5 linked regions of the Cricetulus griseus genome follow. The protein of the gene in region 1 binds, or shares a complex with, the protein of each later gene. Links are inferred from orthologs where the notes say so. Each region holds a gene or a part of one and is shown in the gene's direction. Other genes may lie near its edges. The genes, in order: Arvcf, Srsf1, Pa2g4, Hnrnph2 and Ddx5.

Region 1 (5,617 bases):
GTCACCAAGACGGTCAAGACTGTGACCACAAGGACAGTACGCCAGGTGCCTTTGGGCCCAGATGGACTCCCCTTGCTGGATGGTGGCCCCCCACTTGGTTCTTTTGCTGATGGGCCCCTAGACCGGCATTTCCTTCTGCGTGGTGGTGGCCCAGCAGCCACACTCTCCCGAGCCTACCTCAGCAGTGGAGGTGGCTTTCCTGATGGCCCTGAGCCCCGTGATATTCCAAGCTATGGCAGCCTGTCCCGAGGGCTTGGGGTACGGCCCCCACATACTGGCTTCCTGGGCCCAGGGCCTGGTGATGGCTGCTTTACACTGCCTGGCCGCCGAGAAGCCTTCCCCATGGGCTCTGAGCCTGGACCACCAAGTGGCCGCTCCCTGCCTGAGCACTTCCAAGCTGAGCCGTATGGCCTTGAGGATGATACACGGAGCCTGGCTGCCGATGATGAGGGTGGCCCTGACCTGGAGCCTGACTATGGCACAGCAGCTCGGAGGAGGCCTGAGTATGGGCGGGGCCTTCGTGCCAGGTGAGCACCTGTTGCTTATGACTGCCTCTTCTGTGAACTCTGTCTTCCACTCCCAGCTACAAAGTATCCCACAGGTCATCAGGCTACATTTCAATTTGAATTGGCTTCATCTCTTCTCAAGGATGGCAGCAAGAACGGGCCTGGGATGATAGGCATTGAGCTGGTGTCACTGCCTGAAGCTGCCTCTGTTCTAATAACCAGCTGGCCATGAAGACCCAGGCCTCAGATGCTCATGGTGTGACTCTGCTTAAGGCCTCTGATGTTTTCATCATGCACACTAGCTGAAACCCAAAGGCCCTGGTTCTTCTTGTCATGGCCCTTGATCCTGCCCTTTATGCCGTCCCCATTTATATCCGTAGCATGAAAACAGGACCACACAGCCTGAGTCTGGAGTTTGCCATGTGACTCTGGGCAAATTACCAGACTTTCCTAGTCTCAAACTCTTCCCTGGGAAATGGGCTTGAGAATTCATAGGGCACCTGAGAGCCAAAGACATGTCTCATCAGATGGTCTGATTGCAATGGCCACTTGCAGGGAGGGTATTCTACCTTCATGTGCTGGTATAGTCAGCAGATGTTACAGAAAGGAAGGAGGTAGGGTTCCTGCCCTGTCACTGACAGATGCCACATCTAACCACATTAAGCCATGGTTAAATAACACTGTTAACTGGTGTACGTCCTGACATGGGAGGGATGCAAGCCCATTAATGGCTTTGTTTGGCTATAACCTTGACCTTTCACTGATTGGGCTGTGGTGTCCATACTGTGTTTAGGACTGAGATACAGGATGCTGTCAGTTCCCCTTCTCAGGGAATTCCCAGACCCCTGAACAGGGTAACCGGGTAGGGCTGCTGGCTACTGTGAAGTTGTTGACAGGATTTGTTCACCCACACAGGGCCTTTGAGGACACAGCAGATGATGCCGGTGAGCTGATAGATGAGCGACCTCCATTCCCAGCAGCAACGGCTCCTCTGGCCCAGCCTGAGAGGGGCAGCCTAGGCAGCTTGGACCGAGTAGTGCGGCGCTCACCTTCAGTGGATAGCGCCCGAAAAGAGCCACGCTGGCGGGACCCCGAGCTGCCAGAGGTGCTGGCCATGCTGCGGCACCCTGTGGACCCCGTGAAAGCCAATGCAGCAGCCTACCTACAGCACCTCTGCTTTGAGAATGAGGGTGTCAAGCGGCGAGTGCGGCAGCTGCGTGGTCTGCCCCTGCTTGTGGCATTATTAGATCACCCTCGGGCTGAGGTGCGGCGCCGGGCCTGCGGGGCACTGCGCAACCTCTCCTATGGCCGTGATGCTGACAACAAGGCTGCCATCCGGGACTGCGGGGGTGTGCCAGCCCTGGTGCGCCTGCTGCGGGCTGCCCGTGACAATGAGGTCCGTGAGCTGGTCACTGGTGAGTGGGCCTTGGCCATGGCTGACAAGAGCATGGCTCAGCCCGTAAGTGGGGAAACAGTGTATCAGGCTCAGGTGCTAGGATGGGTCCCCAGCTCTCTCATCCATGGGGTTCCTGGCACCAGACCCTACCTCCCTAGTTCTTTACCTTCACGAGTGCAGGAGTAGGGCTTGCGCCTTGGAGAATTGGGGTGGGGGGTCCATAGGGCTATCTCTCTATGGCCCTGTGACCTCAGGAGCATTTGCCTGTCCACCCACTCATGTAGCAGGAATGGATGGGATAAACTGTCACTGGCTATGCCATTCTTAGAACTTGTCCCTTCCCTGTTAGCTGAAAGCCACTACTAGGTGCTGCCAGTACATCTTGCCAGGCTTTGTGGGACCCTAGAACCTCTTATAGCTTTCACCACTCCTAACTTCTTATGTGAGCTGGGTGCTTGCCTAACATGTACAAAGGCCCTAGGTGCCATCCCCGGGACAACCCAAAAAACCCAGGAACAACTGTGCTAGCTTCATGTGCCTGCTGGAGGACAAGGAGGGAAAGATCACAAGTGTCATCCCTGGGGAGGCCAAGGCAGGAGGGCCATGGTCAACAGTATTGACTAGTGGCACATTACAGGCACTCTCTGGAACCTGTCATCCTATGAGCCCCTGAAGATGGTCATCATTGACCACGGCTTACAGACGCTGACCCATGAGGTTATCGTACCCCACTCAGGCTGGGAGCGAGAACCCAATGAAGACTCGAAGCCCCGGGATGCTGAGTGGACAACGGTCTTCAAGAACACATCAGGCTGCCTGAGGTGTGGGCAGGGGTGGGGCATGGGCCAGATCTGCAGGGTGGCAGGAACTGCCATGCTCATAGCCCAGCTCACCCAGTCTTAGGAGCTTCTGTGCCACATCCTAAGTCCCTGGGATTTCCAGTGGTGCTGTCCTCACACCCACAGTTGGAATCCTAAGTCCCCGAGGTCCTGCTTGACCTTCAGTTTTGTACCATCCTGACCCTGCAGGGGGTCCTGATGTTGGGAAGTGCTGTTGAGAGGATGGGGCAGAATTATCTGCACATCATGGATTCTGGCCTCTTGGGGTCCATCTTTGTCCTATTCCAGTTCAGCCTGGGATCCAGGGAACCTGCTTCCTCCCCCACAGATCCAAGGCTAAAAGCCCATTAGGACAGTTGGGCCACCCTGTTCACCCTCACTGGGATCCAGCAGGACCCATTGTGCAGATGAAAGCCACTGAGGCCTAGTGGGCTGGGGTGTTCAGTAAGGCAAGAACAGGGATCACGGGTGGTCCTGCTCCCTTCCACCCAGGAATGTGAGCTCAGATGGTGCAGAGGCCCGGCGGCGACTCCGTGAGTGCGAAGGGCTGGTGGACGCGCTCCTACATGCCCTGCAGTCAGCTGTGGGCAGGAAGGACACAGACAATAAGGTGGGTGGGGCAGGTGGGAACTAGCTCACAGTTTTCCCTTCAAGTTCTCAAAACCCAATGGTCACAGGAACAGGACCCAAAACTGGGGAATTCCCTAGAATGGCACCGGTGGGAGCAGGTAGGAACTACCCAGAGCAGAGGACATAGTCTCTCTTGGCAGCTCCCCCCAGCTTAGGCCGACAGTGCCATTGGTGTTCACTGGCCATGGCTGCACACATAGCGTCTGGGAAGATCAGCACCCCCTTGTCCGGTGTTCCTGCCCAACCAGGCCACATCTTCCCACAGTCAGTGGAGAACTGCGTGTGCATCATGCGGAACCTGTCCTACCACGTGCACAAGGAGGTTCCGGGGGCTGACAGATACCAGGAGGCTGAGCCTGGGATCCAGGGCAGTGCTACAGCCTCCCAGCGTCGGAGAAAGGATGATGCCAGCTGCTTTGGTGGCAAGAAGGCCAAAGGTGGGTGGGTGAGACTGGGATACATCCCCTTCCCACTGCTCCCAGGGCTCGGCTTTCCAGCATCCATGGCAGATACTCCTGGAGGCTGGAAGTCATCTAGTCAGCCCCATGGGCATGCAGCAAGTTGGGAAAGGCGGAGACCCAAGGCCCAGTTTAATCCTTTTTTGTGGGCCATGGTGTGGTATCTACCTTTGTCCCTGTACTCTGGGGAAGGATTCCAGGGGCCCACAAATGACACTACCGGGCTATATACAGAGCAGCCTGTAACCACACCCCTTTACTTGGCCAGGCACCCTCAGCACCTGCAGGGTACAGATTTCAGGTACTGGTATCCTCCAGCAGTAGTAGTGGGACAGGTACACGGCCTTCACTTGCCCCTGACCATAGGTCTTCCCTGTACCCTGTGGGTACTGAGTCCCCAGAGTTCCTCAAGTGAGGTTGCACAGCCTGCTTGCTTGACCTGGCATGGGTGGGAGTATGAGTCCTGGGAGGGTACTGCTGCTGAGGCTCATCTCCTCTTTCCTGTGCTTCCTCCGGCCGCCCAGAGGAGTGGTTCCACCAAGGTGAGTCCCTGTTTGTTCTGCTGTCCAGGTCTGGCAAGTGCAGTGGGCAACAGAGTGTCATCCATGCTCCCTAAGCGCCCACAGTTATTTCCATGACAACTATAGGGCAGCTGGGATGCCTTCCAGCCTCCAAGCCCTGCCCCACCCCCAGTCCCCTGGAAGGGCAGCCATCTCCATGACAACAGCATAGACATGACAGAGGCTGGAATGCTAGCTCTGGACTGGTGGGGAGGCCCAGGGGCTGCTGCTTACAAAGTCAGAACAAGCTACCAAGCCAGCACTGGGACAGAGCAAACAGTGGGCAGGGCCCAGGGAGTGGCCAGTACTGGGGGACCATCTGTCCCTGATGAAGTGGGTGATGTGTGGCACAGAAGTCCTGTAGGGTAAACTGGGCAGGAGCACCAGGTCATCTGCACCAGCTTGCTACCTGCCAGAGCTCCCTCAGCTGAAGGAGAAGGGGTTGAGAGTTCAAACTGGCTACTGCAGGGGCTCGACCTAGATGCTATGGCCATCCTTCTGTAAAGGATGGCCCATGTCTGGCCCCCACCAATGGGGGGCAGTTTTCCTCTTGGATGGAAGTTTTTGGCCCAGTCCTGTTGCACTGAGGTCCAGCATGTTGTGTCACTGGCCCTGATGAGAGCTGAGGTCTAGGTATTCAGGACATGGTTAGGCTGTTCTAGGCTCCACTGCCACCACTGTCCTGGGCCAGCCTGCCTCCTTGGAGGACAGTACGTCTCTGCCAGGGCTCTGAACAGGAGAGGGCTGTGCCTAACATGGCACAGACTTGTCCCTTGTGGACTCTGCCTCTCAATGCCTACCACCCTTCTGTTCTAGGTAAGAAGGATGGAGAGATAGACCGGAACTTTGACACACTGGACCTGCCCAAACGAACTGAGGCTGCCAAAGGTATATGGGTAAAGAGGCAGAGGTGGGGAGCCTGGGACCTGTGCTGGTCAAGGGGTCAAGGCTTTGTGCCTTTGAGTAGGCCTGGAAAGGGGTGGAGAGTCAGATAGCAAACAGACTCATCCATCAGAGTTCAGTTTCCTAGGGAATGGTCATGGCTTGGTACCCCCCTGAGGGTTCAGTCATTGTGCATAGGTGTTTCAGATAGACCCTTCCACAGTCACTCAGCAAGAGAGGTGGATTGGAGGGTTACTGACAGGGACTCAGCTGGATTACTTCTAGAGGGTATGACCCAGGGGCTAGGGTATAAGATGGGCTTTTGCAGTCCAGGGTGGATCACCCT
Region 2 (6,385 bases), on another chromosome or scaffold:
AAAGGCATGTGCCACTAACCCCCCCCCTTGTTGTTTTTTGAAGCAGCATCTCATTATGTAACCCCCCCCAGATTCACCATGAGCTCATTGTCTTCTTCATTAACCTCCTGAGGGCTGGGATTACAGATATGGGCTACCATGCCTTGCTATAAAATTCATTTCAACTAGCTTTTATGACTAACAAAACCCTGCCCTTTCCTGAACTATTGATTTGTATTTCAAAGTCATTTAAAATTTTGAATATACTGTGTTCCTTGCAGTTGATCTCTCCAGGGATCCAACAGCCTCTCACTTCAGGCATTTATCACCTCAGCCCCTCCCCCACTCTCATTGACCTTCATTTCTTTAGCCTGTCTTAATATTTAATGCTTTCATTTTAAGCAGCCTTACATCCTTGGAATGTTCTAAGTCAATGAGAATGTAAAGGGGCAGCAGAATGGCTCATCCAGTAAAGGTGCTTTTCAAAACCCTGACAGTTTCATATCTTGGGCTCACACGGTTGGGGGTGGGGTGAACTGACTCTCATGGGTACGCCATGGCACCAGTCACCACTCCAATGCATAATATGCACAAAATAGAAATTTAAAGACTGCTGGGTGGTGGCGGCGGCGGCGGCACATGTCTTTAATCCCAGCACTCAGAAGGCCGAGGCAGGCAGATCTTTGTGAGTTCATGGCCAGCCTGGTCTACAGATCAAGTTCCAGGACAGCCAGAGCTACACAGAAAAACCCTGTCTTGAAAAACAAAACAAAAAGAAAGGAAATTAAAAACTAAAAGTAATAGTGCAGAAAACACCCTTAAAATCGGTGGGGGTCTGATTTAGCTCATTTATTTTGAGTCAGGGTCTCTGTAGCTCTGGCTGGCCTTGAACTAAAAGGTTCTGTTTACCACAATGATGGGATTTAAAGGCGTGCCACCACCTCTGGCTATTGTTTGTTTGTTTGAGGTAGGGTTTCTGGCTTTGAAGGCTGTCCTGGAACTAGCTCGTGTAGACCAGGCTGGTCTCGAACTCAGAGATCCGCCTGCCCCTGCCTCCCAAGTGCTGGGATTAAAGGCATGCGCTTGCCTCTTCTGGCTATTTTATGTTTACTTTGAATATGAAAGGCTCTGGTTTTAGCCTGAAGAGGGCGGTCGATGTCTTTAATCCCCCAGCACCCAGGAGGCAGAGGCAGGTGGATCTGAAATCCAGGCCAGCCTGGTCTAAGGAGTGAGATCCAAGACAGTCAGGGAAAGATAGAGAAATCCTGTGTGAAAAATACAAAAATAATAACTACAAAAGGCTTTGGCTTTATTTTTCCCAATTTTTTAATTTAAAGGGTTTCCCGGGGCCGGAGAGATGGCTCAGTGACTTAGGTTCAATTCCAAGCACTCATAACTGTCTGTAATTTCAGTTCCAGGGAACCCAGTACCCATGTCAAAATATCAATGCACAAAAAATAAATTTAAAAAAAAATCTAAAGGGTTTCCCTACATGGCCCCGGCTGATCTAGAACTGTGTATCACAGACTAGCATAGAATCCTCCTGCCTCAGTTTCCGGACTGACGAAATTGAGGCCACAAGTCACCAAGTTCAGCTTGGTTTTGCTTTTATTCCAGTTCGAATTCATTAACAAGACTGAAAACCTGCATGATTTCACACATAAGGCCCTAAATTCCATTCCCGTGATTACAAAGGAGTTAAAAGTCGTAGTATCCAATATAAATATCCTGATTTCAAACAATGTGAGATGCAACCGTTGTCTCTAGTAGTTACAGTCCTCGCATCTATTTTATTATTTTTTTTCTTTCCCCATCCTTTGAAAGGAGGAAGAGAAAAAACTGAAGGCGCGGTTGGTTCGCAGAGGTGTGGAGGGTTCCTAACTGCCTACAAAACGCAGCCCACCAAAAAAACGCAGGTTCGTAGAAGCACAGGACACAGCTCCGCCCACGCTCTTAAACCAATCACCTGCAACTCCGCCGGCTCCGAAGATGCCCAGGTTTCCGGAGCAACAGCTCAGCGTCATCTGGCTCCGCCCCCCGGCGCCTTTCCCGCCAAAGGCCGTTACCGCCGCGGAGCATGGTGGGACACGGTTGTGGGCTGTTGTCACCAAATCCTTTCAAAGCGCCGAGTGGCTTTTAAAAGAGGGTTCTCTCCTGAGGGGAGACATACTATCCTTGACTCAGCCGGGACCAACAACCCCCTTTCACCAGCGTACACCGTTTTCAACCACACGTCTGGCCGCCTCGCTGAACCAGGCGTTCCACCAGCAGCAGGACGCGAGGGACTTTTTCCCCTCCGTGCGGAGGGTGACGTAGCGCGTGCGCGAGCGTGCCTCTCAGCACCCGTTACGCTCGTGCGCGTGCGTACTGGGGACGGAATAGCCGCTTCCTCTGGCTTCCCTTCCTCCCCCTCCCCCCCATATCAGTGCGCCGGGCTGATAAAGGCGCCATTTTGGACGGGCCGCGGGAGACGTGGTGCCGCTGAGGGCTCGCTCTGCCGTACGCTAGGCTTGGTGGGAAGGCCTCTTCTCGAGTCCGCGCTTTTTTTTTTTCCCTCGCCGCCATGTCAGGAGGTGGTGTGATTCGGGGCCCGGCAGGCAACAACGACTGCCGCATCTACGTGGGTAACCTACCTCCAGACATCCGAACCAAGGACATTGAGGACGTGTTTTACAAATACGGCGCTATCCGCGACATCGACCTGAAGAACCGCCGCGGGGGACCGCCCTTCGCCTTCGTTGAGTTCGAGGACCCGCGGTGAGGCAGCGTGGGGCTTGCGGCCTTGAGGAGATAGGCTGGAGTAGTTGGGGGAAGGCTCTGTCTGAGGCCTGGACATAATGGGGGGGGGAGGGAAGGAGGGGCTCCGAGGCTGGGAGCGAGGCGCTATCGCCCCTGCAGGAGTCGAGTAAAGGAGCCGAGTCGGCGTGTTGTCTCCGGTGGCTGGCCGCCTCGGACGTCCCCAGAGCCCATGCGCGGCCCGGGAGCGGGAAACTGAGGCGCCGAGGGCTGGCGTGGTGGTCGGGAGTCCGCCCGGCGTGTTTGTGGGTGGGGGAGGGGCCGCTCCTATTATGCAGCGCATGTGGGCTCCGGCGCCGTGGGTGCGCATGTGCGCCGTCCGCGGCTTCCCGAGTGGCTTGCGTGAGCCCGGCCGGCCGGCCGGCCGGCCGCTGTCCCTGGCCTCATCCCCTTTGCTTTCTGTGATCACGCAGAGACGCGGAAGATGCGGTGTACGGTCGCGACGGCTACGATTACGACGGCTACCGTCTGCGGGTAGAGTTTCCTCGAAGCGGCCGCGGCACCGGCCGAGGCGGCGGCGGGGGTGGAGGCGGCGGAGCTCCGAGAGGCCGCTATGGCCCGCCATCCAGGCGCTCTGAAAACAGAGTGGTTGTCTCTGGTGAGTTGACTCCGTGTGGGGTTTTAAGAAAATCCTTTTCCCGCGAGACTGGTTTGACAACTCCCAAGTTTTGGTGTTTGGTCTTATTTTTTGTTTTGCTTTGCTTTGCTTTTTTTTTTTTTTTTTTCCTTTTTTTTCCTTTTAAACTGCTTCGGTCTTGGGGGTGAATTTAGTAAACGAAGATTACTGTGGCGGTGATTTACCCAAATTAGGTTGCAGTGCTAGCCTATGAAGATCCTTTACAAATAAGTTTGGACTGTGGATCTCAGACTCTTACCAGCTCTTTACCTGGAAACACTTAAGTACAATCATTCAGTATTTTAAAATAATCCTTGTTCTGATGTACGTTGCACCAGTTTGATGTGGAACTGGGTGATTAGCATTAAGTAGGGGGAAATCACTTTTTCAGGACTGCCTCCGAGTGGAAGCTGGCAGGATTTAAAGGATCACATGCGTGAAGCAGGTGATGTATGTTATGCTGATGTTTACCGAGATGGCACTGGTGTCGTGGAGTTTGTACGGAAAGAAGATATGACGTATGCAGTTCGAAAACTGGATAACACTAAGTTTAGATCTCATGAGGTAGGTTATACATTTATTCTTTTATTTGGCCAGAATTGGATACAGTGTTCTTAACAGTGGAATTTGAAGGTAAGGATACAGGCAAAGGTGTCCAAGTAAATTACCAGAGACCTGGTCTGTCTGTCTTTGTATTCATTCAGCATGTCTGAAGACAGGTGAAAGCTTAGATCTTTCAATGGAAAGTTCTGTCTATCCAATAGGGAGAAACTGCCTACATCCGGGTTAAAGTTGATGGGCCCAGAAGTCCAAGTTATGGAAGATCTCGATCTCGAAGCCGTAGTCGTAGCAGAAGCCGTAGCAGAAGCAACAGCAGGAGTCGCAGTTACTCCCCAAGGAGAAGCAGAGGATCACCACGCTATTCTCCCCGTCATAGCAGATCTCGCTCTCGTACATAAGATGATTGGTGACACTTTTTGTAGAACCCATGTTGTATACAGTTTTCCTTTACTCAGTACAATCTTTTCATTTTTTTTAATTCAAGCTGTTTTGTTCAGAATGGGCTAAAGTGTTGAATTGCATTCTTGTGTAATATCCCCTTGCTCCTAACATCTACATTCCCCTCATGTCTTTGGTAAATTGTATTTTAAGTGATGTCATAGACAGGATTGTTTAAATTTAGTTAATTTCCATGCTCTTCAGACTGTGATATTGTGTAAATGTCTATTCTGCTCTGGTTTGTGTGAAATGGGATGTTGGGGGTGTTTGTGGTTATCTTACTTGGGGAAGTTCTTATGTTTATCTTGCTTTTCATGTGTCTTTCTGTAGACATATCTGAAGAGATGGATTAAGAATGCTTTGGATTAAGGATTGTGGAGCACATTTCAATCATTTTAGGATTGTCAAAAGGAGGATTGAGGAGGATCAGATCAATAATGGAGGCAATGGTATGACTCCAAGTGCTATTGTCACAGATGAAATTGGCAGTATTGACCTTATACTAAAAGACAAGGGTTAAAATTTTTATCTACCTTAAGACACTTGCAAACATCTTATGCAGTTATCTTTAGCTACAATTGCTTTCTAAACCTTGGCAATTGTGGCAGAATTGCCCATTTTGTAACAATTATTTGCTCCCTTCTCCCCCCCTTTTTGTTTTAATAGGGACTAATGTGGGAAGAATGGCTAATTTGTCACAGTGCTTAGTTACAACTGTTAATGTGTGGCCTGCTGTTGGTGTACATGTGGGTACAGGGTGTCTATTTCCAAACAGAGTATAATATCAATACTGCTAAATCTGCATGTCCTCTGTGTGACTGATAGAGCGTTGTTATTTCATTTTTTTTTAAAGACAAAATGACAGCAAAATAGAATTCCAATGTATTAGTGTAGATAATCTAGTTGGGAGTGCTTTAAGTCTCACCTTCCCTTTTAATATTCATAATTGACTCATGTTTAATACACTTTAATTTACAAGCTAAATTGCAGATGGGAGCAATAGATTTAGTTTAGACTTAGGTGGGTAGCAATACCAGTAAACTTCAATTACATAACTTTGCAACCACAAAACCTGTGATACCTGTACAGTAACAAGTGTTGGCATTATCAGTTGAACTGTAAATATAAATTGCTTCTTCCTGTTAGTCTCTATAATGATTAAGTTTCTAAAGTTTATCTAAACACCATACAGAAACTTGTTTTGGGGAATTTGATAGTTATTGATGTACATCTGTTAAACTGATGACAGACATAACTCATCATTCCCCAGAAACCTTTTTTGATTACAGTATCTAACATTTTGCCTCCTCTTTTTTGGTTTTGCTGGTTATAAAGGTTTGGATTGGAGAGGGCTCACTGGATCCCAATCCTTGGAGCTGGATCATTGGATTCAAATCATAATGTGGATAGGATAGGGAGGATGAATTACCAGGATTCATGGAGCGGGATCAGATTACCAGGAACATAGGAGTGGATTCCTTCCTGCCCCAACCAAACCGCATTCGTGTGGATTTTTTTTTTTCATTCAACTTAATTGGCTATTCCAAAGAGTTTTTTTTCCTATTTTTGACGATTGGAGCCCTTAAGATGCACGATGGAATTGTGTTTTGCATTTTTTGGTAAAAGGAGCAAAGCGAGGACCTGGAGATAATACGCTGGAGCAATCTCCTTGGAAGGATTCAGCACGAGTAGATGGTAAACATTTAAAGGGGAAAGGGGGGGTTTGTTTAAAATAGTAAATCAGTAAGTCACTTCTAAATTTAAAGAACAAAATTGGAGTTGAAGAATAAGTAGGTTTCCAATTGGCTATTGCCGTTTTTTCTTTGAAAAATAAACATTTTTTAAAAAACGATGCATGGTTGTCCTTTTTCCTCTTCATGTAAAAGTTTACTGGGTAACTAGTGTATCGGTTATTTCTTTAAATTGACAATATTCTGATTCTTGTTTGTGTGTTAGTAAATTAAAGATTCTACTCCAATAAATGATAGTCACTGT
Region 3 (6,100 bases), on another chromosome or scaffold:
GCAGAGTGACCTGGAACTATGTAGCCCAGGAGGATGGCCTTGAACTCAACTCACAGCAATCCTGTCTCAGCCTCCCAAGTTGTGAACTGCCAGACTCCTTGTTTGTGCACAGAATCAAGCAAACGCCAAAGGGCCACATTTTCCTCCAGCACACAGGCTTCTCATCTCAGGAAGGAGTGAAGACAACACAGAAGGACAAATAACTGGACATTTTCATAGCCCACATATGTTGTGGATAATATACACTCCTTACAGTCAATTCACAAAGGTTCCAAGACTCATTTTAGGAATTATTCTTAACCAGTAATGAGAAACTTCTTGTGGGATAGAAAGAGGATCCATCTTCAGACCTCAGTCTTCCTGGATGGGAACTGAGGGAAAATGTCTTCTTGTACCATTAAAGTTTTTTTGTTTTGTTTTTATACATGTCTGAATAAAGATGCCAAGTTTCTTTTGGATTTTTATCAACTGAAGAGTGCATTGAGACCATCCCTTTTCTTTGCTTCTTAGCAATCAGTAGCTTCCTCTGCTCCTGACATTCCCAATTTTTTATTTAAATGTTTTTTTAATAATTCAACTTTATTGTGTTTGCATTGGTATGAAGGTGTCAGATCCTCTGAAACTGGAATTACAGATAGTGCGTGCTGTCAAGTGGTTGCTGGGAATTGATCCTGGGACCTTTGGAAGAGCAGCCAGTGCTCCTAACCTCTGAGCCATCTCTCCAGCTTTATTTAAATGTTAAGATCTTATTTATTTATTTATTTATTTATTTATTTATGGTTTATCGAGATAGGGTTTCTCTGTGTAGCTTTGGAGACCAGGCTGACCTCGAACTCACAGAGATCCGCCTGCCTCTGTCTCGTGAGTGCTGGGATTAAAGGCGTGTGCCACCAACGCTCGGTTTAAGAGTTTATTTTTAAACCTGGGTAGCCGGGCATTGGTGAACAAGAGCTAGTTCTAGGACAGTCTCCAAAGCCACAGGGAAACCGTCTCGAAAAACAAAAACGCAAAAAAGCATACAAACAAAAAAAATGGGTATATGAGGGAGTAGGGGCTGGCAATGGTGAGTGCAGTGCCCAAATTACAAGCTGCTTGGCATGGTGCTGCGAACTCCCTCCACAGGAATACCAGGTTATAAACGCTGAGCCTTTTCTCCAGACCCTGTTTCTACTCCTTTTTATTAACCCGTTTTACTGGGAATCGCTACAAAGTAGCAAGTGTAAACAAGAAAAGCCAAAGCGCTTGCTTGGGAAAAGAGAAAAACCCCAAATCTTGTTTGTTTTTTCCTACATAGGTTGAATACTGAAAGCCTGAAATAATTCAGAACTCATTCTCTTTGGAGTGACCAAATACCTCCTAAACATTTCCCTTAGATGCCCCCATCAAAACCTACCGCTGGAACAATAGTGCCATTTTACTCTAGTATAGTAGCAAGTCTGGCCTTATTAGCAGGCCACGGTAAATGAATAATCTTTCGGACTGTCTAGTTAAGTCTGTTCAGTTAGTCCCTCGCTCCCAGCACCGCCTCCGCTCGGCCCCTTCCTGTTCTCCCAGCAGAGGAGGACTGGACCAGCCAGGCCGGTCACGCTTGCCTACCCGGGAATCCGAAGCTGCCCGCCCTAGGTGTACCAACAGTGACCCTGGTCCTCTAGCTCCACCCTGCTCCACCCTGTTCCACCCTGTTCCGCGGCCTCTAAACCCTCTTCTCCGCTTAGCTCCGCCCCGCCTCGCTTAGCCCGCCCCCCTCTGTTACGAGTTCTGGCTCCGAGCTCCCGTGAATGAGGTTTTTCCCGTAGAGACCACGCTTTCCCTCAAGCTCCCCAACGGCTCCGCCTTCCCGCCGGAGCCAGACCCTTCCCAGCGTGCCCGGCGATTCCGGCGTGCGCAGACCTGGGAGGGCAAGGCCCCAGGGCCTGGCGGCGGGGCGCGAGGAGCAGGCTGGGAATTGTAGTTCCTGAGCACACGAGGGCGGCTGGAGGCTGGACGCCGGCCGGACTCATTGTCCCAGCGTGCCCTGCGCTTCAGCCCGCGCGCTCGCAGCTTCTCGCTCTCTGCGCCCGCCCTCCCGCTCCCTTGCTTGCTCGCGCTTTCCTCGCGGATCGAAGAGACTCTAGCTACAGCTTGTGGCTGGAAGGGAGACGGAGGCCGCAGCTCAGGGAAAGTGAAGCTGCAGTAGTGGTGGTAGGAAGATGTCGGGCGAAGACGAGCAGCAGGAGCAAACTATCGCCGAGGACCTGGTCGTGACCAAGTATAAGATGGGGGGCGACATCGCCAACCGTGAGTGCGGCCTCGGGGGTCTTGGAATCGAGGCTGAGAGGGAGAGGTTTGGGGCTGTCTCCCGAGGGGCTGGAGCGGCTGGGTCTTGCGGAGTGAGCCACCGAGGGGCGCGTGCCGACGACCAGGGGCGACGTGGTGGGGAGATCTGGTGTCGCCCCGGGGACTGAGCAGCCATGCCTGGGCTGGAGAGAGTGGAGGTGCGGGCCGGCGACCGCGAGGAGCGCAGAGAGGGGCCCAGACATGCTCCGACCCTAGGCGGTTGGTAAGGAGGCAAGGCGCGTCGTCTTCTGCCCGTCACCCTTCGGTCTGTCGGGATCTCTGCTTCCACTGACTGGCAGCTGTGAGGCTACCTCGGAAAGGGTGCTGCTCCCAGCTGTTGGCGACATAAGCGCCCCTCTGGCAGTCGCGGGTCCTGACCCGTAGGAGCCAGGCCGGCACGTGTTGCCAGGTCCCTGTGCGGATCGCTGGCTCCCCACTTCCTCTACTACCGTGCTTCCCCACCACGTGCTTCAGAAAAGTCTCAACTTCAGGTCCCCCTGGTGGGGGCCCCCTTCTCCCCTGGCCTAGCCCGAGGGACCGTTGAGGGGCACGTCTGCAGCTTCTAACACAACTCTTAAAGACAATCGGTTTTCTACACTAGGTTGATGACTGCTGCCCCAGCCTGTGAAATGGCCTTGAATATTTGTTTTTAGAGGCTTGACAGTGTTCTGAGGTCCTGCTTAGAACACAGCTAGGCAAGCCTGTCAATAATGCTGGGACGGGACGGAGAGGAACACTGATTTTTTTAGGGTTATTATAAGTATTTCTTGCTCTTTCTCAACAGTTGTCTGCCACTTGGGCTCTTTCCAGTTGTCTCTTCGTGTCAGTCCCGTCCCGTCCCATGCACCCCCTCCCGGGGGTGGGGGGGAATTTCTGTCCTACTCTTGTAGACCAGGCTGGCCTCAGATCCGTCTATCTCTTCTTCCCAAGTGCTGGAATTAAAGGCCTGTGCCACCAGACCACACCCGGCTCTCTTTTCCATTTTTTAAAAGCCTCTTAATAGAGATAGAAACTATTAGGACTTTAAAATGGTCTTGACAAAATTGAAGAAGGTATTTAGGATGCCTTTAGTTAAAACCGAGTTGTTTTTTTTTTTTTTTTTTTTTTTTGTATTCCAAAGAATAACCAAAACACTATTAAGCCTTGAATCCCCATGGATCATAGAGAGGACGGATACAAAATAATATCCCTATCTGGGGTAGTTTTAGTATTTGATATTATTGGTTTAAATCAGACAAAATTTCTATCCGTACTATTTGAAGCTTTAGGCAATTTGACTTTAGATAATAATTTTGAAACTGATCACGTTTCCTTGAGATCTCAAAGTAAACCTTGAGTCTCCTGAATCTTTGAGACCTTAGATTAATTCCCCTGGTCTTATATGCTTGTATATGGGGAAATGCATCTACATAAATTGTGATTACTAACACCTAATTAGAGTGTCTAGGGAAGGGAAGAAGGTAGCATTTAACAATGCTTCAACTTTGACTCAGCAATTCTATGTGTACCTTCCCTTGTCCCTGACGCCTATAAATTTCTTCTGCTCTGCTTGTGCATATGGGGTGTCTTGAGCACAGTTCCCTAACGTTCATGATTCTGTATGCCATAACATCTTTGGTAGGTGCAAGACTCTCGTCTATCCAGGTGTCAAATAATTTACAGAAGAGAAGTAAGCGCTGGCCTTTTTTATTTTAGGAAAGGAAGGTAGAAAGGAAGACTGGGCGTGATAGTGCCTGGTGCCAGCACTTGTCGGGGAGACACAGGCAGGCCATCTCTTGAGTTCCTGTCCAGCCTGGTGTACATAGTTCTAGGAAAGCCAGGGGTGTGTCTCAAAAAAGCAAAATAAACAACAACAAAAAAAGGTAGACATTAAAGTGGATAGATTGTACCAGGACACAAAATTTGTTTCCTTTCCACTTCCTGCCTTAAGACAATGACACTAGGGAGTATTAGAAAATGAATTCAACTTCACATCTAATTAGATGATGAATGCAAGCAGGACTGACCTGATGGGATTCTGTCTCCAGGGGTACTCCGATCTTTGGTGGAAGCCTCCAGCTCAGGTGTATCAGTGCTGAGCCTGTGTGAGAAAGGCGATGCCATGATAATGGAAGAGACAGGGAAAATCTTCAAGAAGGAAAAGGAAATGAAGAAAGGTAAACGGGAAAGAATACTCTTCTTAATTTCTCCCATTTGACCGTATCCATCTAGCCCCGCCCCCCCCCCATTGTAAAGTCCACGCCATCTCTGATTAACATATTTGGAAATCTGGAGTAGCAAATGGGATGGGTGTAGTTTCCTCTCCTGATCTACACTGAGTAAGTTTAAGGAAGGCAGCGGGTGCTGCCAAGGCAGAGCCAGGCAGTAAGGTTGATGGTTCTTTTTACAGGTGTTGCCTTCCCTACCAGCATTTCCGTAAATAACTGTGTGTGTCACTTCTCCCCTTTGAAGAGTGACCAGGACTATATACTCAAGGAAGGTGACTTGGTAAAAATGTAAGGTTAAGCCATTCTGGAGTATTTGTCATTTTCCTACACATTTAAGCAGGGTCGGTTCCTAATGAAGTGTTCTATCCTTGCCTTTCAGTGACCTTGGGGTCCATGTGGATGGCTTCATTGCTAATGTGGCTCACACTTTTGTAATTGGTGTGGCTCAGGTGGGTAGCATGCCTTTTCAGTGTTGGTAAGGGGATATGCTCCACTCTGTCGTACCACATAATCTTAAGAGTATCCAGAGAAGCAAAAAGAAACCACTTTCTGGTGTGTTGTGTGATTGGCTGGCCTCGAATATGAACATAGTGAGCTTTGCAGTGATACTAGTTATATTTCTCCACAGGGGACCCAGGTAACAGGCCGGAAAGCAGATGTCATTAAGGCAGCTCATCTTTGTGCCGAAGCTGCCTTACGACTGGTCAAACCCGGAAACCAGGTAAGGTGCTTCCTTCCTGTTGCAAAGATGAATCAGGCACCCTGAAAACAGCAAATAACTAAGTATCTACCACAGTACATGCAAGGTGTAGGGAATGTGACTTCTTACCGTGGAGCCTATAAAGGCCATTTTTAGATTTTGTATGTGCACTTTCACCCCAAAATAATTTGGGGTAGGTAATGAACAATGAAACACGTTTCTTAAAACTGTGCATGAAAAGGATAGAAAAAGTGCTGGCAAATTCGTGCCTAACAAACAAATTCTTTTGTTGTTTGGAGGGGGGAGCGTATCAGGAAGCCCAGATAGGATAGAGTTCTTGTGAACTAACATTAATTGTGTTAGATTGTTGGTGAACATTATTCAGAAAACTACTGAAAACTTAAGACTGTCTTTTTGTGTGCCCTTCTTTTTGTTCTGTTTGTATTTAATCCTTATAATTACTTAAGTTGCATACTTTTTACTTATAATTCTGCCTTTGTTTCCTTATAATACTATTGACTAAAGAGTTGTTTTCAAGCCTAGCCTATAGTAATTTCTGAAATTAGTTGTTACTATTATTTTTTATTGGTTATTTGCATAATGGTTAGTCTATAGTTGTGGAATCATGCAATCTATGCGTCTTATTGTTTTTTTGAGACAGGGTAGGGTTTCTTTATGTAGCCTTGGCTGTCCTGGAACTCACTCTGACCAGGCTGGCATCAAATTCAGAGAGATCTGCCTGCCTCTTCCCAAGTTCTGGGACTAAAGGTGTGCGCTGCCACGGCCCAGCACGTTTAACTTTTTTTTTAAAGTCACCCGCCCCAACCCAATCCCAAACCCCACCCTGTGTCACTGATTCTGTCTTCCTCCCCTGAGA
Region 4 (5,949 bases), on another chromosome or scaffold:
TCTAGGGAACTCTGGTTTGTGAATAATGTTGATTTTATTGCCATAGCTTAATCTCCACTGTTTAGGGGAATTAAAATGTTTATTTTACTTTAAATTTCATTTCCAATGATTGAAGTTTGAACATTTCTCAGACTTTTCCTCTATATACTCCTTTTCCTCTTGTATGTAAGTTTTTTGAAGTTATAATGTGATTACAGCATTTCCCCTTCCCTTTTCCTCTCTCCAAACCCTCTCATGTTTAAATACCTCCCCAGCTTGCTCTCTTTCAAATTTGTGGCCTTTTCCCCTTAGTTGTTAAATATGTGTGTTTATTCCTAAATACATAAATACAACCTACTCAGTCTGTAGAATGTTATTAGTATGCATGTTTTCAGGGCTGCATTTGGTATTAGACAACTAATTAGTATGCTCTTCCCTGGGGAAGACAATTTCTCCACTATGAATATTCCTTAGTTGCCTGCATATTTACTCTTATTGTTTGTTTTGGGAATAGGTCTCACTATCCAGCCTTGGCTAGCCTGGAGCTTCCTGTGTAGATCAGGTTGGCCTTGAACTCACAGAAATCCACCTAGCAACTTTTTTTTTTGAGACAGGGTTTCTCTGTGGCTTTGGAGGTTGTCCTAGAACTAGCTCTTGTAGACCAGGCTGCTCTCGAACTCCCAGAGATCCGCCTAGCAACTTTTTTTTTTTTTGAGACAGGGTTTCTCTGTGGCTTTGGAGGTTGTCCTAGAACTAGCTCTTGTAGACCAGGCTGCTCTCGAACTCCCAGAGATCCGCCTGCCTCTCCCTCCAGCACCACTGCCTGGCTCACCTAGCAACTCTTAACACCCATAATCTTTTAGCCGGGAGTTGGTGGCACACGCCTTAAATTCCAGCTCTTAACACCCATAATCTTTTAGCCGGGAGTTGGTGGCACATGCCTTAAATTCCAGCTCTCCAGAGGCAGAGACAGGCAGATCTCTGAAAGTTCACGGCCAGCATGGTCTACAGAGAGAGTTCCAGGACAGCTAGGACTGTTCCACAAAGAAACCCTGTCTCAAAAAAAATACCCATAATGTTTTTGTCAAGTCCTGCTGCAGATTCCACTTTTTTATTTAGGCAGATCACATTTTTTTCCTTACCTCTACTGCTATTTTAGTGAATCTCTTGTCATATCTCTAAGAGGTCATTCTTTAATTTGCTCTTTTGCTCTTTTCATCCAGTCCCCCTTCCTTCTGTTTGAATGCTCCAGTTGCCTGGGTGATAAGTCTGAAAGGGCTGTAATGACATCACTCCTGTTTAAGATCCGTAAAAGGTGCTATATATATAGATATGTATGTATATATATATATATATATTCCCCTCTCCACACCCAGCATCAGAACGGTAAAGTCCCAATGTCTTAAGGTTTGGGGGAGGCACATGTCACACAGTGTTGTGAATACTGAATCATCATGCTTGTGAACCAGAGAAGAGTCTAGCCTCCTATTAAATCAGACCCTCAGGATCTCATCTCTTTTTGACAGCCCTGTCCTTTGCTTTTTGTCCCCTTCCATTTCGTGCTCCATTAAACATTTTTATAAACTGTTTCTGGATCCCTGAACAGGATCAGAATAGTTTGTGTCAATTAACCATTCTGCCTCCAATTGATAACACTTCATCAATCAGTCCTTCCTTTATTTTATCTGTTTGCACTTTCCTTTGGTAAAGGCATACAGTTCTCCTGTAGGACTGTAAGCCCTTTCTGGACTCATTGATTCTTACATGTCAGAATGAGTACTAGACCTGACATCTAAAGCATGCTTGCATATGTAAAGTCCCATTAATGTTTTCAATGTTTTTTTTCCCATTTATCTCTTAGGCATTAATAGTTCTGTATTTTACTGATTTGCATGCATTGTTTATATTCTTGGGATATTAATGGACTTGTATCTTATGAATTTTGTCTTTTGATTTAAAGAAATTTTTGATTTTTATATAATGAGATATAGTTATATTTTATTTATTTTTAATTTTAATTTTCTCTATGATGTTAATGCATTGGGCCAGTGCAGAAAATTTAAAATATTCAAAAAATGTCTTAATATTTTCCATGTATATGTTCATGGAAACAAGTCCTATTGTACTGCTACCCAGAAATAATCATTATTAATTATACCTGATACATAATAGAAATGGAATGAGTAATTGTTAAGTGAGTGAATTAAGTTTTATGCAGTCTTTTTGTTAATGTGGCTATCTTTTTAAAAAGTAACTGATGTGAACTTCTATAATAATAGTTTTCTTTGTTTCTCTTATTGTGTATAATTTTTCATGACAATAGTTTTCTAATTTTTTTAAAGCCACATTGAAATTGCGTTGAGCCAAGCTTGCCACCAAGAGCCCAACAGTCACCATGATGCTGAGCACAGAGGGCAGGGAGGGGTTCGTGGTGAAGGTCAGGGGCCTACCCTGGTCCTGCTCAGCTGAGGAAGTGATGCGCTTCTTCTCTGATTGCAAAATCCAAAATGGTACATCAGGTGTTCGTTTCATCTACACCAGAGAAGGCAGACCAAGTGGTGAAGCATTTGTCGAACTTGAATCTGAAGATGAAGTAAAATTGGCTTTAAAGAAAGACAGAGAAACCATGGGACACAGATATGTTGAAGTATTCAAGTCCAACAGTGTTGAAATGGATTGGGTGTTAAAGCATACAGGTCCAAATAGTCCTGATACTGCCAATGATGGTTTTGTACGGCTTAGAGGACTCCCATTTGGCTGTAGCAAGGAAGAAATTGTTCAGTTCTTTTCAGGGTTGGAAATTGTGCCAAATGGGATGACACTGCCAGTGGACTTTCAGGGGAGAAGCACAGGGGAGGCTTTCGTGCAGTTTGCTTCACAGGAGATAGCTGAAAAGGCCTTAAAGAAACACAAGGAAAGAATAGGGCACAGGTACATTGAAATCTTCAAGAGTAGCAGAGCTGAAGTCCGAACTCACTATGATCCCCCTCGAAAGCTTATGACTATGCAGCGCCCGGGTCCTTATGATAGGCCAGGGGCTGGAAGAGGGTATAATAGCATTGGTAGAGGAGCTGGATTTGAAAGAATGAGGCGGGGTGCCTATGGTGGAGGCTATGGAGGCTATGATGACTATGGAGGCTATAATGACGGGTATGGCTTTGGGTCTGATAGATTTGGGAGAGACCTAAACTACTGTTTCTCAGGAATGTCTGATCATAGATATGGAGATGGTGGGTCCAGTTTCCAGAGCACCACAGGGCACTGTGTACACATGAGGGGGTTACCATACAGAGCCACTGAGAATGATATTTACAATTTTTTCTCACCTCTTAATCCCATGAGAGTACACATTGAAATAGGACCCGATGGCAGAGTTACAGGTGAGGCAGATGTCGAGTTTGCTACTCATGAAGATGCTGTGGCAGCTATGGCAAAAGATAAAGCTAATATGCAGCATAGATATGTGGAGCTCTTCTTGAATTCTACTGCAGGGACAAGTGGAGGAGCTTACGATCATAGCTACGTAGAACTGTTTTTGAATTCTACAGCAGGGGCAAGCGGTGGTGCTTATGGCAGCCAGATGATGGGAGGGATGGGTTTATCTAACCAGTCTAGTTATGGAGGTCCTGCCAGCCAGCAGCTGAGTGGTGGTTATGGTGGTGGTTATGGTGGTCAGAGCAGTATGAGTGGATATGACCAAGTTCTTCAGGAAAACTCAAGTGACTATCAGTCAAACCTTGCTTAGGGAAAGAAGGAACACCAAACAGCTCCAGGAATAAAAGCTGTGCATTTATAGGAACTGGATAGAGTAGGAAGGATACCAAGCATATCCAGTATGATTGGTAAATGGGAAATAAAGTTGCTTCTGATCACTATCGGTCAGCTTTCTTTCTTTTTTTTTTCTCCTTTTTTTAAGAACAAAATTTAAGTTTAACAGTTTTGCATTACAAGCTTGTGATTCATGCTTACTGTAAAGTAAAAGTTAAGATTGTTTTCAAACTTTAAGCTCAGCAGTTTTGAACACTGAAATATTCATCTAGGATGTAATAACAAGTTCAGTATTGACCATAACTGTTAAATCCACTTTCAGCTTTCCTCAAGTTAGTTATGTTGTAGGAGTGTACTTAAGCAGTAAGCATATTTAGGTTTAAAGCAGTTTCACTTACGTTAAATGTTGCTCTTATACCACAATACATCAAAGCCTTCAGATGCATGTTGAGAAACATGCTTTTCTGTAAAAATCAAATATAGGAGCTGTGTCTATGATTCAAAGTGACAACATTTGGCATGTTTGTTAATTCTAGCTTTTTGGTTTAATATCCTGTAAGGCACGTGAGTGTACACTTTCACTTTTTTTTTTTTTAAAAAGATCTGGGATAATTTTGAGATGTAGTACCAATACTTTAGGAGTTTGGTCATGTTGTTTGTATGGAATTCTGAGGCTTTGATTTAAATCTTACCTTGTATTGTGAATTCCATTTAGATGTATTGTACTAAGTGAAACTTGTTAAATAAATCTTCCTTTTAAAAACTGGACAAATCTTGTATAGTTTGATTTTTCTTAAATCATGTTCTGTTACATGGGCACATGGTAACTAACTTTTTAAAAGTTCTCTGCAGTGGGAATGCAAATTTTCAGTTTCCTTTTTTTTGAGACAAGGTCTCTAATATTCCAGGCTGTGAATGACCTTTAAATTCTGCTCCTCCTGCCTCTACCTCCTAAGTATTGGAATTTCAGTCATGTGGCACTGTTTCCAGTTTATGCCTTGGTGGGGAGCAAACCCACACCTTCTTGCATGCAAGACAGCCACTATACCAACAGGGCGACATCCAAAGCCTAAATTTGGATTTATTTATTTATTTATTTGTTTTGTGTGTGTGTGTGTGTGTGTGTGTGTGTGTGTGTGTTCAAATGAATGTGTACACACATGTAAATGAGTGTTGGTAGAAGCCAGAGAAAAACATTGGGTACCCTGTTCTATTGCTCTCTGCCATATTGTCCTGATAACAGGTCTCTCACTGAGCCTGCAGCTAGGCTGGCAGTCAGTAAGTTCCAGTGATCCCCGTGTCTCTGCTGCCCACAGCACTGGGGTTACATGTGTATGAGTACGACTGGCTTTCTACATGGGTGCTGGGGATGTGAAGTGGGGTCTTCTGTGCTAGCCCAGCAAGCATTCTTACCCATGAAGCTGTCTCTAGCCCTGCAGTTTTATTTCTGATTTTTTCTTTTTTTTTCTTTTCCTTTTTGAAATGGGGTTTCTCTGTATAGCCTAGGCTGTCCTGAAACCCATGTTGTAGACCAGGCTGACCTTGAACTCAGAGGTCTGTCTACCTCTGCCTCCCAAGTGCTAGCATTGAAGGTATGCATCACCACCACTCAGTGATAAAAGCCATTAAATGCCCTTTTCTTTTCATGGTTTACAGAACATCTAAGGTTTGTGAGCCACTGTTTCTCTGATTCTGCATTAGCATCATTGGAACATTTAAAAATTGATTGCTGGACCCCATCCTGGGAAAGTTCTGAGATGGTGCCAAATATTGTGCTGAGAGGACTCAAGACCACCTTGTGAGACAGCTCACCATTCTCCCACTGCTAAAGTCTAATCCTAAAAGGAACTGTTAAGAAATAGCTTCGTTTTGATCACCAGTTCTCCCACCTCGTTTTTTTTTTCCTTTTTGTTTTTCGAGATGGTTTCTCTGTAGCTTTGGAGGTTGTCCTGGAACTCCCTCTGTAGACCAGGCTGGCCTCGAACTCACAGAGATCCACCTGCCTCTGCCTCCTGAGTGCTGGGATTAAAGGTGTGCATCACCAGCACCTGGCTTCTCCCCCTGTTCATTGCAACATTAACATAGTTAAAACATTTCTTTTGAATGCAAGCCACATGTCTATTTATCATAGCTTGCACCTCCCCATGAGTATTCTGTGCACCTGTGTCACTTTCATCTATGGGTATCTTTTTTTTTTTTTTT
Region 5 (4,660 bases), on another chromosome or scaffold:
TCCTAAGCCCTGTGGGGAGGGTATATGGAGCCTCAGGCTGTTATCTGTCCTTGTAATCTGAACTTCAGATGTTTGGGCAGCCGACCTGGTAAATCCAAGCTGCTTGTTTGGCATCAATAGTGTGTGCTTGGGACTATAGTAAAAATATATTGTGCCAGTTGTTGCTGTCTAGAATTGACAATTGGGAGGGATTCCAGAAATGCACTTTGGCTTTATATCAAAAGACATTAAATAAAATGTGAGTGCAAACATAACAGAACTTTTTTACAATGTGGCTTCCCCCCCCCTGTAGATTTGGTGCACCAAGATTCGGAGGGAGCAGAACAGGACCCCTCTCTGGAAAGAAGTTTGGAAATCCTGGGGAGAAACTAGTTAAAAAGAAGTGGAATCTGGATGAGCTGCCCAAATTTGAGAAGAATTTTTATCAGGAACACCCTGATTTGGCAAGACGCACCGCAGTGAGTGATTTAATGTGGCTTTTACTGGCTAACAGCTTCTACTCAATTGGATTGAAGCTGACAGGTGCCTTGCAAATGTCTCGAATTCAAATTATTATTTGTGGTGTGGTTTCCAAATGTGTCCATTGAATCTAGTGTAAAAATTATTTGAGCCAGGCGCTGGTGGAGCACGCCTTTAATCCCAGTAATCGGGAGATAGAGGCAGGCTCAAACAATACAGAGAAGCCCTGTCTCGAAGCACCAGAGGGTAAAAAAAAAAAAAATGTGTATTGGCCAGGTGTTATGGCACTAGTCTTTAATTCCCATCACTGGGGAGACAGGCAAGCCAATCAGCCTATTTGGGCTACATAGTGAGACTTTTTGGTTTTCGAGACAGGGTTTCTCTGTGTAGCTTTAGAGCCTATCTTGGCACTCGATCTAGAGACCAGACTGGCCTCAAACTCAGAGATCTGCCTGCCTCTGTCTCCCGAGTGCTAGGATTAAAGGTGTGCACCACTAAGGCCCTGCCCTAGGTGAGTGTTTTAAGTACATAAAAATTGCTGCTGAGCTGTAGGGGACTTGTCAGTGCAGTTGGCTGAGGTTTGAGACTGGGGTCATTTGTTTTTCAGCAAGAGGTAGATACATACAGAAGAAGCAAGGAAATTACAGTTCGGGGTCACAACTGTCCAAAGCCTGTTCTGAATTTTTATGAAGCAAACTTCCCTGGTAAGGACTAATTTTCATCTCAATTCTTTTCATTTGTTCCCTCTTCTTGCGTAGGGTTTTTGCTAAAAATGGTATTATTGGTTTTACAGCAAATGTCATGGATGTGATTGCAAGGCAGAATTTCACTGAACCCACTGCTATTCAAGCTCAGGGCTGGCCAGTTGCTCTAAGTGGATTGGATATGGTTGGAGTAGCTCAGACTGGATCTGGGAAAACATTATCTGTAAGTTTAGGGAAACTTGATACATTCTGGGAGTGGTGACCTGATAATCTTTCATTTTTAATAAAATTTCTGTTTTCACGCTTCCCCTCCAACAGTATTTGCTGCCTGCCATTGTCCACATAAATCATCAGCCATTCCTAGAGAGGGGTGATGGGCCTATTGTAAGTATTTCTTAACTTTTTTGGTCCTTAACACTAAAAATTTTTAGACTACATAATCCCACTCAGTTTGCCAGAACTGGTTTGACTTTAGTTCCTTTTTCAAGTTACTAATGTCCAAGAACAATAAGCAAGGACGGATTTCAATCCCTACAACCTACACGTAGAGAACCAATCAGAAGTTCTGCTTTCCACATGTTCTCCCACATGCAAAAAAGTCTCTCTATCCTGAGCATAGTGGTTCATGCTTAATAGTCAGTGATCACTACTATAATCTCAGGCAGAAACTAGAGGATCTGGGAGTTGGAGGCCAGCTTCAATGACAGAAAGCCTTGTCTTAAATAAATCCAATTCCCAGCATGCACCCCACCTCACCTCCAAAAAAAACACAGCACCATAGTATACTGTTGTGTACTAAAAGCTGGGGTTTTTTGCAATTTTTTTTTCCTTAGTGCTTGGTGCTGGCACCAACACGGGAACTGGCCCAGCAAGTGCAGCAAGTTGCTGCTGAATACTGTAGAGCCTGTCGCTTGAAGTCTACCTGCATCTATGGGGGTGCTCCCAAGGGACCACAGATTCGTGATTTGGAAAGAGGTACATGATCATAAAGGGGGCTCCTTGTTACTGGTGGAATGAAAGGTTTACATGTTATAGTTACATTTGCTCCTTTAATTAAAGGTGTGGAAATCTGTATTGCAACACCTGGAAGACTGATTGACTTTTTAGAGTGTGGGAAAACCAACCTGAGAAGAACAACTTACCTTGTCCTCGATGAAGCTGATAGAATGCTTGATATGGGATTTGAACCCCAAATACGGAAAATTGTGGATCAAATAAGAGTGTGTATCCTTATGTTCTTAGTAAAGATCAGTTCTAAGTTTACTCTTAGGGTTCCAGTCTTAATTTATTTCCCAAAATTTTTTAGCCTGATAGGCAAACCCTAATGTGGAGTGCAACTTGGCCAAAAGAAGTAAGACAGCTTGCTGAAGATTTCCTGAAAGACTATATTCATATCAATATTGGTGCACTAGAACTGAGTGCAAACCATAACATTCTTCAGATTGTGGATGTGTGTCATGATGTAGAAAAGGATGAAAAGTAAGTTTAAATCTTAGCAATTTGAGAAGATCTTGAATTGTACAAGAGTAATTAGTTTTGAAAGTTGTCTTAAAATGAAATTTAGTATGGTATAGGTTCTTTTTAAAATGTGTTTGTGGATATATATATAGCTTGGTGATAAACCACTTGCCTGCCTGGCTGGCTTAAGAAAAAAGCTATATGAGTTTGAGCCTGGCCACTTCACAAGCACACGAAGTGGTATGCCAGTCTTTATGAAAATCTGTGTTGTGCTTGCCTAGTATTTAACCTTACTTCCTGTAAGGAAAGGACAGCCACGTGTCATAAGCTTTTACAGAAGTGGTTTAGTGGGTGTGTTGTTTTGACTTCCGTTGATACGTTTCACTAAGCACATTTCTTTTTTCTTTTCTCTTTAGGCTTATTCGTCTAATGGAAGAGATCATGAGTGAGAAGGAGAATAAAACCATTGTTTTTGTTGAAACCAAAAGAAGATGTGATGAACTTACCAGAAAAATGAGGAGAGATGGGTATGTGGTTTCCTGCCTCATGGTACTTTGATCAAAAGAGAGTTTTGTGGGGATCATCTATTCTACAATATAAGTAGAATTATACAAATTGATTTCAATGACAGTGTAGTGGTAACAGCTCAGGGATATAATGCTCAGTGGGAGAGCACTTGACTAAGATGAAGTACTATAGGGTTAGATTAAATATTGGTAGATTTCTGCCTTTGGGTTTCAAATGTAAGAGAGCTAATATAACTTGTTAATACAGGTGGCCTGCCATGGGCATCCACGGTGACAAGAGTCAACAGGAACGTGACTGGGTTCTAAATGGTGTGTATTTCAAATAAGATGAAGTTTGTTTATAACCTGATAACATTTGCTTGGATTAATGATCATTTATGTGTATGTCTTTGTAGAATTCAAACACGGAAAAGCTCCTATTCTGATTGCTACCGATGTGGCCTCCAGAGGGCTAGGTTAGTACAAACTCGAATTCATGGCTTGGTTTCCCAGAAGATCTCCATGTAGTTTTTTTTAAAGAAAGTTTATTGCTTTCTTTAACCTCTGCATTTTTTCTAAGTTTTTTTCACATAAAGGTGCAGTCTTTGTGGCAAGGCCTAGGCATGACAATCGGAGGACTCGAGGGGGATGGAGGACTAGTGATCGGCTGGCTGCTTCCAGTCGATTAGAGAGGTGAAAAGCTGAAAGTGTGCCAGTAATCTTCAAAGGGCAGAACATACCACCTCTGCCCCATAAACTGTTCTCTCCGGGGGAAAAAAATGGAAGTTACCTCACAGTTCACTGCCGTGGTATTTCATCTGTCCCATGCTTTGCATGATTGCCATGGTACAGCATTGTTTCAAACTGTTCACTGTGATCTGTGGGTCTTTGAGTTTCAGTGAGTTTGCTGAAATGTCGAAGAAATATTTCCAAACTTCAATGTTCAATGAAATTTTTGTTCAAGTTTGAAATGGAGAGAGCAGCTTTAAAAGGTACTAAGCCTTTTACAAATTGGTGAGTACTGGCACATGAGACCTAGAGCAGCAGGGTCAACTTCTCACACATAGTCAGTGGGAAAAGAAAGTGCCTTGAAAAAGTTCCTCCCTCACCTACACAGTAGTCGTCATGTCGAGACCTGCCAGAGAGAGACACATTCTCAAGTGAATCCTGGCTTCTTGGAAGCGCTTGCCTAGACGAGACACAGTGCATTAAAACAACTTTTGGGGGACAGGTATGTTTTTCTTGCAGCTGCAGTTGTAAGGTCTTGGCAAGACAAGCAGTGTGGCCAGAATTTTGAACTTCTGATGAGTGTGATGCAAAGGACCTTGTACATTTTTCTTAAAGGTCCTCAAAAATGAGCACATGAAGAGGTTGCTGTGAAACTTTTAAGTGGCCCTACTGCGCAGAAGCACTCAGATGTCACTTGATGATCTGTAAGGGGACTTTGCCAATTTGGGAATGTGCTAAGGAGAATACACATTCCCTTGATAGGCTGTCAATGGGCGGGTGATAACTTAATACAGCTGACATGTG

Evidence for each region.
Region 2: Arvcf (region 1) and Srsf1 share a complex: the UniProt entries of both Homo sapiens proteins name them as parts of the ribonucleoprotein complex. The link is inferred for Cricetulus griseus from reciprocal best matches to the Homo sapiens genes ARVCF and SRSF1.
Region 3: Arvcf (region 1) and Pa2g4 share a complex: the UniProt entries of both Homo sapiens proteins name them as parts of the ribonucleoprotein complex. The link is inferred for Cricetulus griseus from reciprocal best matches to the Homo sapiens genes ARVCF and PA2G4.
Region 4: Arvcf (region 1) and Hnrnph2 share a complex: the UniProt entries of both Homo sapiens proteins name them as parts of the ribonucleoprotein complex. The link is inferred for Cricetulus griseus from reciprocal best matches to the Homo sapiens genes ARVCF and HNRNPH2.
Region 5: Arvcf (region 1) and Ddx5 share a complex: the UniProt entries of both Homo sapiens proteins name them as parts of the ribonucleoprotein complex. The link is inferred for Cricetulus griseus from reciprocal best matches to the Homo sapiens genes ARVCF and DDX5.

The regions. Positions count from the first base shown.
Region 1 is NC_048597.1:70,850,232-70,855,848, reverse strand, and holds part of Arvcf (armadillo repeat protein deleted in velo-cardio-facial syndrome), read left to right. Parts: coding exon 1-527; intron 528-1,421; coding exon 1,422-1,921; intron 1,922-2,539; coding exon 2,540-2,723; intron 2,724-3,233; coding exon 3,234-3,351; intron 3,352-3,636; coding exon 3,637-3,808; intron 3,809-5,205; coding exon 5,206-5,277; intron 5,278-5,617. UniProt on the Homo sapiens protein: Contributes to the regulation of alternative splicing of pre-mRNAs.
Region 2 is NC_048600.1:101,232,633-101,239,017, forward strand, and holds Srsf1 (serine/arginine-rich splicing factor 1), read left to right. Parts: upstream 1-2,073; 5' UTR 2,074-2,542; coding exon 2,543-2,736; intron 2,737-3,188; coding exon 3,189-3,373; intron 3,374-3,782; coding exon 3,783-3,955; intron 3,956-4,155; coding exon 4,156-4,350; 3' UTR 4,351-6,242; downstream 6,243-6,385. UniProt on the Homo sapiens protein: Plays a role in preventing exon skipping, ensuring the accuracy of splicing and regulating alternative splicing.
Region 3 is NW_023276806.1:129,339,422-129,345,521, forward strand, and holds the start of Pa2g4 (proliferation-associated protein 2G4), read left to right. Parts: upstream 1-2,037; 5' UTR 2,038-2,189; coding exon 2,190-2,277; intron 2,278-4,343; coding exon 4,344-4,472; intron 4,473-4,705; coding exon 4,706-4,811; intron 4,812-4,902; coding exon 4,903-4,972; intron 4,973-5,151; coding exon 5,152-5,244; intron 5,245-6,100. UniProt on the Homo sapiens protein: May play a role in a ERBB3-regulated signal transduction pathway. Seems be involved in growth regulation. Acts a corepressor of the androgen receptor (AR) and is regulated by the ERBB3 ligand neuregulin-1/heregulin (HRG).
Region 4 is NC_048604.1:45,489,645-45,495,593, reverse strand, and holds the end of Hnrnph2 (heterogeneous nuclear ribonucleoprotein H2), read left to right. Parts: intron 1-1,202; 5' UTR 1,203-1,294; intron 1,295-1,355; exon of another isoform or gene 1,356-1,456; intron 1,457-2,321; 5' UTR 2,322-2,374; coding exon 2,375-3,724; 3' UTR 3,725-4,515; downstream 4,516-5,949. UniProt on the Homo sapiens protein: This protein is a component of the heterogeneous nuclear ribonucleoprotein (hnRNP) complexes which provide the substrate for the processing events that pre-mRNAs undergo before becoming functional, translatable mRNAs in the cytoplasm. Binds poly(RG).
Region 5 is NC_048600.1:119,728,819-119,733,478, reverse strand, and holds part of Ddx5 (probable ATP-dependent RNA helicase DDX5), read left to right. Parts: intron 1-292; coding exon 293-458; intron 459-1,066; coding exon 1,067-1,163; intron 1,164-1,252; coding exon 1,253-1,386; intron 1,387-1,481; coding exon 1,482-1,547; intron 1,548-1,996; coding exon 1,997-2,138; intron 2,139-2,222; coding exon 2,223-2,383; intron 2,384-2,469; coding exon 2,470-2,642; intron 2,643-3,037; coding exon 3,038-3,148; intron 3,149-3,395; coding exon 3,396-3,457; intron 3,458-3,543; coding exon 3,544-3,603; intron 3,604-3,707; coding exon of another isoform or gene 3,708-3,721; exon of another isoform or gene 3,722-4,660. UniProt on the Homo sapiens protein: Involved in the alternative regulation of pre-mRNA splicing; its RNA helicase activity is necessary for increasing tau exon 10 inclusion and occurs in a RBM4-dependent manner. Binds to the tau pre-mRNA in the stem-loop region downstream of exon 10.